2 linked regions of the Lonchura striata genome follow. The protein of the gene in region 1 interacts with the protein of each later gene in a biochemical or structural test. Links are inferred from orthologs where the notes say so. Each region holds a gene or a part of one and is shown on either strand. Other genes may lie near its edges.

The links. The genes of interacting proteins can lie anywhere in the genome.
Region 2: the proteins of ZBTB16 (region 1) and HBEGF form a complex in vitro, tested with the Homo sapiens proteins (2 studies listed by BioGRID). The link is inferred for Lonchura striata from reciprocal best matches to the Homo sapiens genes ZBTB16 and HBEGF.

What each region holds. Positions count from the first base shown.
Region 1 is NC_134625.1:10,775,478-10,783,012, forward strand, and holds the start of ZBTB16 (zinc finger and BTB domain-containing protein 16), read left to right. Parts: upstream 1-4,528; 5' UTR 4,529-4,608; intron 4,609-4,964; exon of another isoform or gene 4,965-5,077; intron 5,078-5,566; exon of another isoform or gene 5,567-5,570; 5' UTR 5,571-5,640; coding exon 5,641-6,908; intron 6,909-7,535. UniProt on the Homo sapiens protein: Acts as a transcriptional repressor. Transcriptional repression may be mediated through recruitment of histone deacetylases to target promoters. May play a role in myeloid maturation and in the development and/or maintenance of other differentiated tissues.
Region 2 is NC_134617.1:15,518,882-15,526,146, forward strand, and holds the start of HBEGF (proheparin-binding EGF-like growth factor), read right to left. Parts: upstream 3,013-7,265; 5' UTR 2,898-3,012; coding exon 2,855-2,897; intron 2,615-2,854; coding exon 2,438-2,614; intron 491-2,437; coding exon 313-490; intron 1-312. Other genes in the region: SLC4A9 (anion exchange protein 4), read left to right, coding at 5,560-5,828. UniProt on the Homo sapiens protein: Growth factor that mediates its effects via EGFR, ERBB2 and ERBB4. Required for normal cardiac valve formation and normal heart function. Promotes smooth muscle cell proliferation. May be involved in macrophage-mediated cellular proliferation.

The DNA of each region.
Region 1 (7,535 bases):
ATGAACTTGAGCATCATGAGAGCACAGAAACTGGAAACTGGCTGCTTCCAGTGAGACTGAGAATGCTGCTTGTGATCCTGTGAACTTTTTGGTTCACAACTCTAAAGCCATTCAGGGGCACTTGGAAACCATCCTGTTAAAGGAAGGGAGTTTTAATTATTGCTCTTGTGCTCAGAAAAGCATGCAATGAGTATTTAACTCACCTGGAATTCTTATTGATGTCTAAACGTGGATGTGATCCTCCTGGAGAAGGAACAGCCCTGGGTGGAGGTACATCCCTGTACCCCACCCCTGAGGGGACTAACCAGCACAAATGGTGTCTGGACAGACAAAGAACATCTCCTTCCCCAGTGCTGTATCCTTCCTGAGGAGAGTCAAAACCAAAGTAAGACAGGAAAAGCAGGATGAAACTGGAACACAATCCCTCACTAGAGCATCCCCTGTTTTGGGAGGCAGAACAAGCCCCCAGAAGTGCTTTGCTGAGGTCCTGGTGTAGATTCTGCTCTATTTAAATGACTTTTTTTTGGGATGAACTTTACCGAACACACATGCAGCCTCCACAGCACCATGAATTTGGGGCTGACATTTAATGCCTCGGCACATTTCTTTCCTTGTCCCGTGCAAGGCAATCAAGTATGTCAGGTTAAGAGAAGAGAAAAAGAGGAAAAATAATTACACAGTAAATTAAACAAGGCTAACTCCCTCCCACTTATTATGGCTTCATAAGTTGCTACCTCTGGCTCAAGCTCTCTTGAATACGTACCAAGGGTAACACTAAAAATAGGTCCTGTACTGATGGTTGGGTCACAGCCTGCTAGAGGGAGACATTTTTATTTAATTACAAGCCCAGCAGCGTGTTGCTGGGGGGGAATACATAAACACGCCACTCGAAGCCCGGCTGTAAAGTTTGTGCTCCTTCGCTGAGTCACTGTGGCTAAATTCCCCTTTGTGTGGGGGATTTAGGGGAGGAATGCGGGAAGGCTGGCCCGGGCTGCCGCCCTCCTGAGTCACCGCTCAGCTCATCCTCCAGCCCCGGCAGGCTCAGGGCCCTAAGCCACTAATTAGCCTCATTGTCTTAGGGCTGCAGCATCCATAACCTAGCACAGGGAGGGGGGGGACGGAGGGACAAAGCTCCTGGAAACCCATGAGCTGTATCTCCTGGCAGTTGTGTTCTGTGCGTCACAGCCCACCTCTCAACACTCCCCGAGGGATCCTGATCCACTCCTTCCGTGGGATGGCATGGATTCCGTGATGCCTAAATGCGAGTGCAGCTGTAACCTGGAGCAGTTCTTCTGAGCAGGGAGGGTTCTGGGGCGCGGGGTGCAGCAGCCGGTGACACCATGGTCCTCGTCACTGCTGCCACGTGCTCGAGCGTGGCCGGGCAGCATCCCACATCCAGCAGGGCCGGGAGGCTGGCAGTGTTTCTGCAGTGTGACACGTGTCTGCTCAGCTCTGTCCGAACTACCAGGTTGTGCGGGTCTCCTTTCCCACAGCAGCAAGCAGCCCTGCGCAGCTCCCTCGGGCTGGCTACCGCCGAGCTCCAAAAATAACTTACCTTGGGACCAACTGCAAGGTGGATAACCCGTATCCCACCACCCCGATCAGTTGCGTCCTTGCGTGACTCTCAGGTTGCCCTTGTGCAGCACACATGGGCACAATGAGGGGTCTGTTCCCAGCCCCTCCGCTCCTGGGCTGCCACAACGCGCACGGCTCCGGTGTCTGCGCTCGGACAGAGCCTGGTGCTCATCACTGGGGTTCAGAGGAAGCTTAATGCACCATGGCTGCACGCTGAGCAGCTTTCCTGGGGCTTCCGCCCTCCCCCTTGCAAACAGCTTTGTGTGTTTAGGCTTTTTTTTAAATGAAGTCTAACACATTTAATCATCTTTTCATAAGCTGTCAGCTTGCCGCGCACCAAAGCAGAGCAGCGCGCTCTGTCCCGGCTCCCAGCAAAGCAAAAGTGCCTGGAGAATCCTGCTCCTGGGAGCGTGCACACACACAGCTCAGGAGCTGTGAACTTTTCTCAGGGTCTGGGGTGAGATCAAAAATCAGTTTTTGGAAGTTATTTTGAAACAGATCTTATTTTGTACAGCATCTTTACTCCAGTGTTTCATAATTCAGCTCTGCACCATCAGCGCTGGAAAACTCAGTATACTAGAAAACTCCAAATACATCAAAAGCAAAACACAACTAGTCCTAGGAAAACATGGGAATGTGCCTGTCCCCCACCCTGAAGGTTCTCGGCAGGAGCAGGGAGAACAGGGGGCAGCTCAGTCCAGGGGCAGAGCTGGGGTGGGCACAGCTGAAGTCAGGGCCTAGCAAGCTGGGGAAGTCAGAGCCGTGTCCTTGCGTGCCTGTCTGGGGTGGAATGGGAGATTATGTGTCTAACAGCACTGGAGGAGTGTGTGTGATGGGAAAGGGCGTTTGCACAGAGTGGGAGAAGCTGTTGTTTTGGGCATGATGGAGAGGAGCTGCTCCTCTTCCCTTTCCATTCATACAGGGTGGGTGATGCTGGGGCACCTTCTGGCTGAAGTTGTCTCCCAGAATGTTTTTTGTGGACTAAGCATCCTGAACAAGGAATTTCCTTTCTTACTGTAATTGTGGAGACTGCTCAGTTTTACTCTCCTCTCCACACACTAGCTGCCTCTTGGAGAAGCATCCCAAGGCTGCCCTTGCCACTATCCCTCAAAATACGGGCTGCACATTGCCCAGTCCTTGTCTCCCCACAGACCTGGTGCTGCTGGCCAGGGTATTTCCCCGGGAGAAGCAAACATTCGTGTCTCCCTGTCCAAGTAACTGATAGGTCTGAGGGATCTGAATAGATCCCAGATTTTCCTGGGAAGGATGTCCATGCTTCACCTGGTTCTCACACAGAAGGCCCTTCCTGAGGAACCACCGACTCAGGTTTAATGCTGGAGGTTAATAATAATCACACCAGGCAGCACATCATTGCACCGTATCTGGTTGAGAGATTTACAAGTGAAACTCGTGGCGGAGGAAGAAATTGCCTCAATCACTCGGAGTAATGGCACATGGAGAGGCACTTGGGCGTGACTGCTACTTAACACGGAGCCCAGCTTGGCTTCATTTAGCTGCTGGTGCCTTTCTAATAAACACGTTACACTACAAGGTGGGGATTAAGATCAGAAAAGTAAATAAATTGGAAACTGATGGGGAGAGATGGGAGGGAAATGGAAGGTACTGAGGAGGAGTGACGAGGGATTGACTCCCATGCCAGCACATGGGGAAATGACCCTGAAGGCCATGGCTGTAGCTTTCCAAGCATCTCTGTGGGCCTCACCTGTGGCCTGCAGGTGCTGGGCAGCCCCAGTGCCAGGGCATGTTGGGTGTCCCTGCTCAGGGTCACCAAGCTGGTCTTCAGCAAACAGCAGCTGTGGCAAGTTGGTGTCTTAAACAATTCAGTAGCTTTTACTATATGTATTAGAGAAGCAAGAAAAAGTGCAATGCACCAGTTGACAGGAAGGACTGGGGGTTAATTTTCAGGATGCTGCCTGGGAATTTAGCCGTGGGATTTCCATTATTGCTAATGGGACTCATGCAGCTTAATTTCATGTGAGCTATACTAAAAACATACCCGTAACTGCCTGCAAAATTTCAGTCCTGAAATCAAGCCTTTTAAAAGTTAGAGAAGGGTAAACAAACACCTGAAACCACAGTGTCTCACCATTTCCTCCTCTCAGCTGTTTGGATTTTAAAGTCTGGAAGAGGGAGGAACTCAAGCAGTTTGAGACAATTAAAAACCCCCATCCAGCAGGCACGCTGGCTGCCTGTGCGGCACATCCCTGCTCTCTGCCAATTACAGCAGCAGAGTTATAACCCCCGAAAAAATAGGAGTAAGCTGATGCCTTACCCTTAACTATAGTACGGCGAGCACGGCGTTATCACACGCGTCTAATAACCCGCGCAGCGCCGCCGTGCATCGTGAGGCCTCCGTTATTAGGCTGTTCTCGTTAAATGACTGCTATCATCTGGTCCCAAAGTACATTAAATCCCATTATAATTATAAACACACTTCCCCATAACGTTCTCCTTAGATTACATTTGCGCTGCTTTACCCCAAGGGTATCTTTGTACTAATGCCGTCCGTGTTTGTTGTTTTAGCTGAAGACACCGGCCCTGCGCTGGCTGTGTCGGTCCACGGGCGCAGCAGAGAGGGAGGGAAGAAGGCAGAGCCGTGCGGCTGCCACCCTGCCCCTCCCGAGGATTGCACAGGGTGCGCCGGGCGCGGGCACGCCAAGGAGCTGAGGCACTCCTCGGATGCTCGGGGCACGCAGTGCTCCCTCCGCGCGTGGCCCGCTGCTCCTGCCGCCGCCTGGTGCTGCTGTCGGTGTCACGGTGTGGCTGGCGTCTCACCGCGCGTTTCGCTCCCTTCCCGAAGGGGACAGAGCCCCACGGCCCGTCCTGGGGTGCGGGCACCCGCCACATCCCTACACACAAGTGGCGCCGTCACGGCGTCAGTATTTTACCGGGGGGGCAGGGGGGAAAGGAGGACAAACCGGCTTCGTCGAGGCGACAACGTGCTCGGTGTCACATCATGTCACGAGCACCGCAGCTCCCGGTCGGAATCCGGACCCCAAACCGGGCTCCGAGGTTGGTTTTCACCGTCTCCAGCCCGGGGCCGGGTCCGCCCGGCGCGGGGGCGGCTTTGTCTGGCGGGGGCGCCGCCCGTCGGGGCGCGCAGCCCCGCTCGCGGCGGGCCCGGGGCAGCCGCGCCGCGGCCCGGGGCCGCTCCGCGGGGCCGCTCCCGGTGCCGCCGGGCTTCCGGGTGCCGGGCTCGCCGCCGCCTCCGGCTCCTCCATGTTTGTTGTCGGCAGCGCTGTCCAGCCGCCGCCGCCGCCCGCAAGGTGCGGGGCGCGCGGGGCGGGCCCGGGCGGGGGCGCCCGCACTCAGCGCGGCGGGCGGGGGCGGCCGCCGGTCGGTGGGTGGGTGGGGGCGGCCTGACGCGGGCGCGGGGCGGCCCGGGGGCCGGCGCCGCCGTGATTTGCTGCGCGGCGCGGCGAGCGGCGGCGGCGGCGATGAGAGCGGGCAGTGCGAACTGCCGGAGCAGCCGCCGGCCGCCGTGAGTGCGGGCGGGGGGCGGCACCGGGGCCCCCCGCGTCCCCCGCCCCGGGACCGCCGTGTGCCCGCGGCTCCGCCGCTTCGCCGCGCACCTGATGGGGCCGCGCTGCCGGCGGGACGGGGCGGCCGGAGCTGGAGCCGGGCGGCGGCGGGGGATGCGCACCTTCCTCTCCCTTCCTTCCCTCGCCTTCCCCGGCCGGCGGTAGCGGGAACGCGGCTCCGGCAGCTGCGGATCCGCCGAGCAGCGCGGAAACTTTTGGGCGAGTCGCTGCTAGGCTGCGGGCTAACTTCCCTCTTCTCCCCGCTCCCTTCTCCCCGCTCCCTTCTACTCCCTGCTCCCTTCTCCTCTCCTTTCTCTCCCCGGCTTTCCTCTCTCCCCCATCTTTTTTCTCTTTCTTCCCCTTTTCTCTCTCCTTCGTCTCTTCCCTCCCCGCTCCCCCTTTCCCGCTCCCCTCTGCTCCTCTCCCCCTCCGCCTTTTGTTTTCTGCAGATAGTCGGCACACAAAGCTGGTCCCAGATTTGAGCGACGGCGAGACACCCTGATGTGTGAGCCTGGGGCGCGCCATGGATCTGACTAAGATGGGGCTGATACAGCTGCAGAACCCCTGCCACCCCACCGGGCTGCTGCACAAAGCCAACCAGATGCGCCTGGCGGGGACGCTGTGCGACGTGGTCATCATGGTGGACAGCCAGGAGTTCCACGCGCACCGGACCGTGCTGGCCTGCACCAGCAAGATGTTCGAGATCCTCTTCCACCGCAACAGCCAGCACTACACCCTGGACTTCCTCTCGCCAAAGACGTTCCAGCAGATCCTGGAGTACGCGTACACTGCCACCCTACAAGCCAAGGTTGAGGACCTGGATGACCTGCTCTATGCTGCCGAGATCCTGGAAATTGAGTACCTGGAGGAGCAGTGCCTGAAGATCCTGGAGACTATACAGGCCTCCGAGGACAATGACACCGAGGTCGCTATGGCTGATGGAGGTGCCACCGCCACCACTGAGGAGGAGGAGGAGAAGAAGTCAAGGTACATCAAGGGCCTCTTCATCTCCAAGCCCACTGGTGAGGAGGGTGGCTATGCTGGCATGGCCAGCCAGAATCTGCTGGCAGCCACAGTGGAGCAGAGCCCCTCTGCCTCCGCATCCTACTGCTCCCTCTCTTCCATGAGCCCCACCAAGGCGGCGGTGGACAGCTTGATGACCATCGGGCAGTCACTGCTGCAGGGAGCCCTGCCACCCAATGCCCCCGAGGACTCACGCTCTGCCACCACCCGCCGTCCCTCTGGCCTCGCCGAAGTCAAAACTGAAGCAATGCAGGTGGATGAGGCCTCCAGCCATGACAGCCCCCGGACAGCCGAGCCCGGTGCCTCCAGTGGGGAAAAGGCTGACGAGAAGGGCAAGGAAGGACCTGGCACCCCGACCCGCAGCAGTGTCATCACCAGTGCCCGTGAACTGCACTACACCCGTGAGGAGGGTGCCGAGCCACCCCCTGAGCCTGGCCAGGGGCTGCCACTGGGGCCGGAGCCGTCTGCCGCTGCCCCGGGAGAGAAGCCCTTGGGCATCTACTCCCTTCTGCCGAACCACAAGACTGAGCCGGTGCTCGGCGTGCCGCCCACTGCGGCGTCCGCCCTGCATGTGCAGCCGGCCCTGGCTGTCTCCATGGACTTCAGCGCCTATGGCGGGCTGCTGCCCCAGGGCTTCATCCAGCGGGAGCTGTTCAGCAAGCTGGGGGAGCTGGCAGCCGGCATGAAGACGGAGAGCAGAGCCCTGGGTGAGCAGTGCAGCGTGTGTGGGGCAGAGCTGCCGGACAACGAGACCCTCGAGCAGCACAGGTGAGTGCCGAGGCCGTGCTGTGGCATGCTGCACCGGGCAGCCAGGATCTCGCCAAAGGGTTTCGGTTTCTGGCTGAGTGTCACATGCGTTGGTGCAAAGTTTCCATCAGGTACCCCAAAACCAGCTTGTGGAGTAGCATTCTAAGAGGGATAGCTGTTGGCAGCTTCCCCGAATCTGGTTACCGTGCCAGAAGGTTCCTTCCAGTGAGTGCTGGCTGGGAACAGCCCGGATGAGCTGGGGCCGTCGGTGTTTCCTGCGAGCATAAACACCACCAGTTTCCCTGGCTGGCATCAACCAAGTAGCTCACAGTTGCTACCCTTTGAGTTGGGGGATCTGCGTGTAGAGAGAAGCAGTGGGGACAGGCAGCGCTCGCCCGCTCTGCTGAGATCTGGTCCCCCCTGTGCCAGTGCCGGGGCACGCCAGCGCGGGCAGTGGTGTCAACATGTGTTGACTTGCCAGCCTGGGGGGTTTTGTGCCGCTCAGCTTCCCGGTTTATGAAACATTTACACTTCGCAGAAAGTGGCGCGGGGGTCAGGCTGGGTAACGCCGGGGCGAGCGCAGAGGGCTCGGGCTGCCGCAGAGCCGCGGGTCTGTCCCTGCGGGAAAGGTGAAGGGCTGAACCTCCA
Region 2 (7,265 bases), on another chromosome or scaffold:
GATGAGCTTTCCCAAATCAGACCTGCAGAAGCCCTCAGCTGCCAGACCCCAGCCCTACACACAATTCTGCAGTTCCCAGCACAGCCAGAGTTCACCATGCTGGCAGGGAACCCTGGCTCTAAGGCCATGACAGGATTTGGGGAAGGGGTGGACACTTTTCAAGAATTACAAGGAAGAGGCTAAGTCAGAGTTGTCCCTGCATGGGTGGGGAACATGCACTAAAAATATCTCTGCTTTTCCTCTGCCCAGCCTGGAAAGTTGAAAGAACCATGACTAAAGCTTCCCCAACACAAGCACATGCCAGCAACTCACATGCAAGAGGGAGCTCCCAGCTCTCGGATGTACTTGCACTCGCCGTGAATACAGAAATCCTTGTACTTCCGCAGGCACGGGTCTCTCTTCTTCCCCAGGCCTTTGCCTTTTCTTCTTTTATTGCCGTTCCCTTTTTTCTTGGGAGTAACGAGGCCTTGAGGCTTTGACAGGAAGGCAACTGAAAAACAATTTGGGAAGGAGAGAACAGCAGTCAGATCAGCTCCACGTGCCAACAAAAGGGAAGGCAAAGGCACATCCCAGGGCTGCCACAACTGCTCAGCCATGGCTCCCACAGCCCTTTGTGCTGGGAGCTGCCCCCGAGCCCGGGGTTGGGGGGAGGGCATTTTTTTCAGCTCCTCACAAATATCATGGCCTTTCCAATTCATAAGAACAATTCTCAAGGAAAGAAGGGAGTTGGGCAGGGGGAACAGAGCTTTATACATCTCAAATGCTGCTATTATATGCACCAGTTTCCACTGAATACAGAACACTGCTAATTGCCCCTTTATCTGGCCTTTATTTCCCTGACAAGCACAGGCTTTTCTAAGACCCTATTCATGGCTCTGATGCACTCTCCTTCCCGTGGGCACAAGGATGCCTTACTCACCCCAGGGCAGGATTAAAAGAGCAAGCCTGCCTTAAGTTTTGGTTTTGCAGAGCCCAAGAGATGGTGAGGGCATCACTCCCATCAATTACAACGGTATATTTTAATTGTGGTCCAGTAACCAGCGGCTTTTGGTGCCAGATCAGCCCCCTGCTGGGTTGGTGGAACTAGAGCACCAAGCTCCTCACCCAAACGTAGCTCAACACTAGCAACGGTACTGGAATGATTATTAAAGCATGCAGATGCCAAAAAAAAAAAAAAAAAGAAAAAAGAAAAAAAAAAAAAAAAAAAAAAAAGAGAAAAAATAAAACCAACACCCCGCAGCTTGATCTCACGAGGTGCTGGAGAGCACTCACTGCTCCAAGGAGGATTTTTTAGGGCCCCCCGAGCTATGGTGCTCATTAACCCCGGTGAATTAAGCCTGGGGCTGCTCGAGGAGGAGAGTACAGCAGAGTCCAAGCTGGCAAGTTGTAACCTGCCCAGGTTACAACTCAATCACTGCTTGACGGAACCAGCGCCTCTCGTGCTGGCACACACCAGTTGCACACCTAGCAAAGCTATGTCGACATCCTCCACGCTGCGCCTGGAGAAAACCGATACTCCAGGAAACCTTGCGGCTTGGAGAAGCCCCGGATGAGGCTGACAGCAGAGGCTGCTCCGTTCCCTGCCTCTCCTGCCCTGAGGGTTATCTCCCAACCACAACCAGCCGACACACACTGCTGCGTTTTCCGAGGGCTAAGTCCCCCCGGCGCGAGTGGCTCAGCCCGGTTTTGCCGGCTTTTTGTTACAGTCTGCTGGCACAGCCAGAAAGCAAAGAAAAACACGGAAAAATGGGAGGGTGAGCTGTACGGAGCAGAGCACGCTCCTGGTGCCAGGTACTGCCCTCGGCACGCCGCGTCTGCGAGGCACAGGTACATGTCACCCCCTCAACCCCCCGTCCAACTCCCATGAGAGACCCCAGAACACTCTCTGGTGCCAGCCCGGGGCAAGGAGCCCGGCGTGGGTGCTCGGGAGCCCCAGAGAGCGGCGGTGCCCCCACCGCCCCCGTGGCGAGGCCGCCGGCTGACGAGCCCTGCCGCGGAATGAGGAGCAGCCGCGCGTGGGCGGCGGTGACTCACGACGGTCCCCGCGCCACCACCGGGAGGGCAGCGCGGGTCCCCGGACACGGCAACCCCGCCGCGAGGGGCTCCGTCTCCTCCTGGCCAAGCAGCTCAGACCCGGGGCCCCCTGGAACCCGCCCTGCAGGCGACTGCAAGGAACACGGATAGCCCCTGGCAGCAGCGGCACTGCTCCGTGCTGCTGCCCCACAGGCTACTCCCACTCGGGTCTGCTGCCGCCGGGGCTCGGTATCTGGGACCGCTCCCACCCACCACTGCAAGTCCCTCCGAAGCGGAGCCGGAGCTGCTGCCGGAACATCTGCGGGACTGAGCCGAGCTCAGCCCGGCACCTTCGCGACCTCTCCGGCTCCGACTGCCCCCAGCCCAGCCCGTCCCGCCCTGGGACCCCTTATCGCGTCCGTACCTCTCGGCAGCTCGCTGAAGTCGTCCCCCGAGGCCGCTCCGCCTCCGTCCTTCTCCGGGCTGCCGCCGAGCAGCGGCGCCGTGGCCGGGACCGGCACCCCGCCGCCGCCGCCGCCCTTGTGCAGCACCTCGTTGTGCAGCTCGTCCCGGCGCAGCCCGCCCGCCGCCGCCGAGCACACTGCGGAGAGAGCGGTCAGGAGTGGGGGCTGACACTGCCCTGCCCGGGACCCCCCACGCGGGACAGGGACCGATCTTCCCTTCTGCCCACACCCGGGACCAGGACGGCTTTGCCGGCGCCCAGGACCGGCCATGCCCGCCTTGCTCAAGACCATCCCCGCACATGTTCGGGACTCTCCAGTCGAGCACGGCGCTGGGATGCGCTGCCCGCACCCGGGACCGTCCCCACGCGAGCGCGTACCTGCCGCCAGCAGCGCTTGGATCAGCACCGCCCGCCCGTCCATGACCCGCGGGCACACGCGTCCAGCCAGTGCCGCGCTCCGCTCGGTCCCGCAGCGATGCCCGCTCTCCGGCACGGCGGCCCCGCGCCGTATAGAAAGCTGCGGAGGGGCGGAGGGGCGGGGCAGGGAGGGGCTGACCGACCGCCCCGCCCCCGGGAAGGGCTTCCCCACCGTCCCCGGGGGCGTCCCGCCGGCTGGGACCGGGACCTTGGCCCGGGCCCGGTGTGTTCTCCTCGCTCCGGAGGCGGGCCGGGTTGAGTGGAGAGAGCCCGGAGAGCAAAGGGTTTCTGCAGAGCACGGAGGGCAGGAGATGGCCAGGGGGAAGTGTGGCCCCAGCCAGGGGGAGAGGAGGGGGATCCCGGTGGTCCCCGTGGCCCCAGGCAGGTGGCCGAGGTGGCCCGAGGGTGCTGGGAGAGCGAGTGCACCTCACAAGACGAGCATCACGTGAGACAGGACCTCAGGAGTCAGGACTGCACCTCTTCCTGGCCCTGGGGATGGGATGACCCTCAGAAAGGGGAGAGACTGACACCCATGTGCCACTGCACCAGCGGCAGGTCTCACCAGGGAGGTGGTGGCAATATGAGATGGCAGCAGAGACCCTTTCTGTTCCCAAGACCCCATTTGTGCCCCTGTGCTGCCCAAGTGATTGAGTCACAGCCTTACCTCCCAGCGCCCCCCCAGCCAGGCACTGTCCTTGTCCCTGTCCCAGCCTGCTGTGTTTGGGCACTGCCAGAGCTTCCCCATGCTCTTCACCATGCTGGCAACCGTGTGCTGTGTTTGGCCGCATCCTCAGCACAGGTGACAATGTAGAAAATGTCACTGACATCAATGCCGGGTGAGTGCAGGGTCCAACAGAGGCCCCTGGTTGGTTCCTCGAGGTCCTGAGCCCATGGCTGGTTTGGGGTCAGCTAGGCATGAGCAAATATTCCTGCTATTGTTGTTGCTGTCTCCAAGGAATACCACCGGATCTGGCACCCCCCCGCTCACACCCTCCTTCTTGCTCAGACTTGACTTTTGCAATTGTTTGCTGGATGTTTTTCCTTCCGCCTCCTCGGGCCATCAGGAGCCCAAAGCCTTTGGTGGCACGGGTGAGGGGCTGTGTCCCTGGGCAGATCTGCACACTGGCTCCTGGGGAGGTCCCCCTGTTGGGATGGAATTTTTTTGCCCCTGCCAGTCCCCCACCATGTCCCCAAGGCTGGGCTGGGTATGTGCGGGCAGTGTAAGTGGGCAGCACTTGCCAGCTGCCCTGACACCTCTGGAGAGGGAGGTACCAGCTCACGTCAGCTGCCAGGGAGGCAGCTGGCACAGAGGACTGGCAGGGTGGGGGGGATGTGTGCAGGCTGCTGATCCTGCCTGCCTCTGCTTCCTGCCTCTGCCTCCTGCTGCCTCTTCCCCTCTGCCTCCCACAGCCTCCCATGACCCCTTTCCACTTCCTGCAGCCCCTCACAGCCTCCCTGCCCGTGTCTGCTGCCAGTCATGCCCCACCTCATGCTGCTGAGGCAGCCCCCACAGGTGGGGGAAATGAACCCCAGGAAGATTTGGGTGCCTCAGGGCATCCCTGATGCTCCCTATTGATGGGTCCTTCTGCCAAGGATCTCCCCACGGTAAGGGCACACGTCCACATACCATGGTACCTGCTGGTATCACAGAGCAAACAGCCTGGACACCCTGGGCCAGATCCTTGGCCTCAGTTCCTGCGAGGCAGGTACCAGAACCTCAGGAACCCACACTCCCAGCCGTCCTTCCCCAAAACGTGACTCTGCCGTGGTGGTGCCTGGCCCTGCTCCAGCTGCTCCTGGGGCTGGATCCTGTCGGGTCCAGCGGGCTCCAGCACAGCCGGCCCGTGCCGGAGCCGCGGGTGTTTGCGGTGTCCCCGCCGTGTTTGCAGTGCACACAGCCCCGCGGTTTGTCTGCGGGGAGCCGAGGGGCCAAGCGTGGTGGTGGTGGTGGTGGGCATGGCATGGGCACAGCGAGCACCGTGGCTGCTCTCTGCTGGCAGTGCTGTTCAAGCCCTGTCATGTCCCTGTCCCTGTCCCTGTCCCTGCAGAGTGCTGCTGTTGTGCCCACATCCTTCCCCCTCCATCCACTCACTGCCTGCAGAAGCCTTCTGAACACCATCACTGCCCCGGAGCCCTCCCAGTCCTTTCCGTCAGCCCTGCCACTGGCAGCCCCTTATTTCCCCACTGTGGATTTGCCCAGCAGTGCCACGTCCTTCCCCAGAGCATGTCCCCATATTCTCTTTTCCCAGAAGGAGCTGCCACGGGCTGTGTCACTCCTCCTGCCATGGGCACAGCATCCTTGCACAGGCACAGATACTGCCACCAGCTCTCCAGGGTTGGCCCTGCCACCCCCTCACCAGCACCTTGCAGGCTGCAGACAGGGCTGGGAACACACGAAGTTCCCTGTCCACCCAGGTCACTTGCAGGAGGCAGGTGGGTTCCCTGGTCCCTGGCCCAGGTGGGCAGCTGGACATGGCAGGACACAACCATACTGGGACCTGTGGGGCTGACCCTGCTGTTTTGGGATGCTTGTTTTGGGCTTGGCTCTGGTGTATTGGTTTGTGGCCAGTTTAAACCTGTTCACAGCTCTTATAAGGTGTGGGATGAGTGGGATCCTGTGAGTGCTGGAGGGGAGCCCACGCCTGTAGCTGCCGGTGCCGGTGGCCATGCGAGTCCACATGCCTGGGACAGGTGACACAGCTCTCCGGGCAGCAGACAGCTGCTCACAGCCCCGACTAGAGAGCAGCAATCCTGGAGCTCCCTCCCAAACTTTCGGCTGCAGCATCTTCCCCTCCAGCATGGCCACAGCGGCTCGGAGAGCTGGTGCCACCCTGCAGTGGGAGGAGAGGGGGGATGTCACCTGCCCGCTGCTCTTCATCCAGCTCAACCAGCTCCTCAGCACCCCGGCGGGGCTGGAGTGGAGGGAGATGGCCAGGTAGGGATACCTGCGAGAGCCAGGCTGGCTGGGCCACGCTTTGGGAAGCCAGGGCATTTCCCGAGGCTGGCTGTTCCCCAGCCTCAGCCCCAAGACAGGGCTCTGCCCCACCAGTGCCCAGCTGGGCTGACTTCATTTCATGGGAGAGGGCAAGATGTCAGGCAGGCACAGCGCCCTTCCTCCTGCTCCTCTCTGGTGCCTCTCCGAGGCTCCAGCGGCTGCGCTGGGGCTGGGTTATCCCCGAGCCCCCTGGCACCCATCCGGCAGGGGCAGGGGACGTGGGCCACAGCAGTCTGGGGACAGCAGTGGGTGTTCACCCGGGGTCGGAGTGTCTGTGGGATCCCTCCCCACCACCAGCCCCTTGTGCCCGCACGGCTGCCCCTCGCAGGAGCCCGCAGCGCCGGGCACGCTCTGCCCGTGCAGCACGACCAGCGCCCACCCACCGCGACAAAGGGAAGCTCTGTCTGTGCCCGGCATTAAAATATTTGGCATGGCCCGAGCGTGAAAACAGCTCAAGACACTTCTGTTCTGACTCCAAGCAAGCGTTGCTAATGGCAGGGCCACCCCCAGCCCCAGCGCAGCTGGGGAAATGGATGGGCTGGGAGCAGCCCTGCAGAAAATGACTGGGGGTGCTGCTGGGTGACAGAGGGGACATCAGCCAGCGCTGTGCTCTGGCAGACCAGAAAGGCGAGTGTGTCCTGGGCTGTATCACGGGCCACACGGTGAGGAGGGACTTCTCCCTCTGTTCTGCTTTGTGTGGGACTGCCCTGGGGCACCACATCCAGCTCCTGTTGAAGCACATCCAAAGGAAACCATGGAAATGATTCAAAGGCTGGAACAGCTCTGTTGGGACAGCTCTGCTATGGAGACAGGATGAGGGAGGTGGGGTGTTGTTTAGCCTGGAGAAGACAAGGCTCAGGGCCTAAGAGCCTCTTCCAGTGCCTAAAGGGGCTGCAAGAGAGCTGGAGAGGTACTTGAGACAAGGGACTGGAGTGACAGGACAAGCAGGAATGGCTTCCCACTGCCAGAGATCAGTGTCAGATGGGATATTGGGAAGAAATTCTTCCTTGTGAGGGTGGCAAGGCACAGATTGACCAGAGAAACTGTGGCTGCCCCATCCCTGTGAGTGTCCAAGGCCAGGCTGGAAGGGGCTTGAAGCAAACTGGGATAGTGGAAGGCACCCCACCCATGGTGGAAGGCTTGGAATAAGGTGAGTTTTAAGGTCCCTTCAAACCTGAACCATTCTTTCCCCTCATTTTGGTTGGAATTCCCCTGATCAGACCTTAGAGAGGTGTGGGTCTGCAGGAATGGGGACATGACCATTTTGTCTGCCCAGCTGCCCCTACACCATGAACCAAGTGCAGGCCCCTCTGAGCCACCCAAACCCCTCCCTGCCAGTGCCAGCCCCATGCTAAGCTCAAAGATGGACCCAGGCTC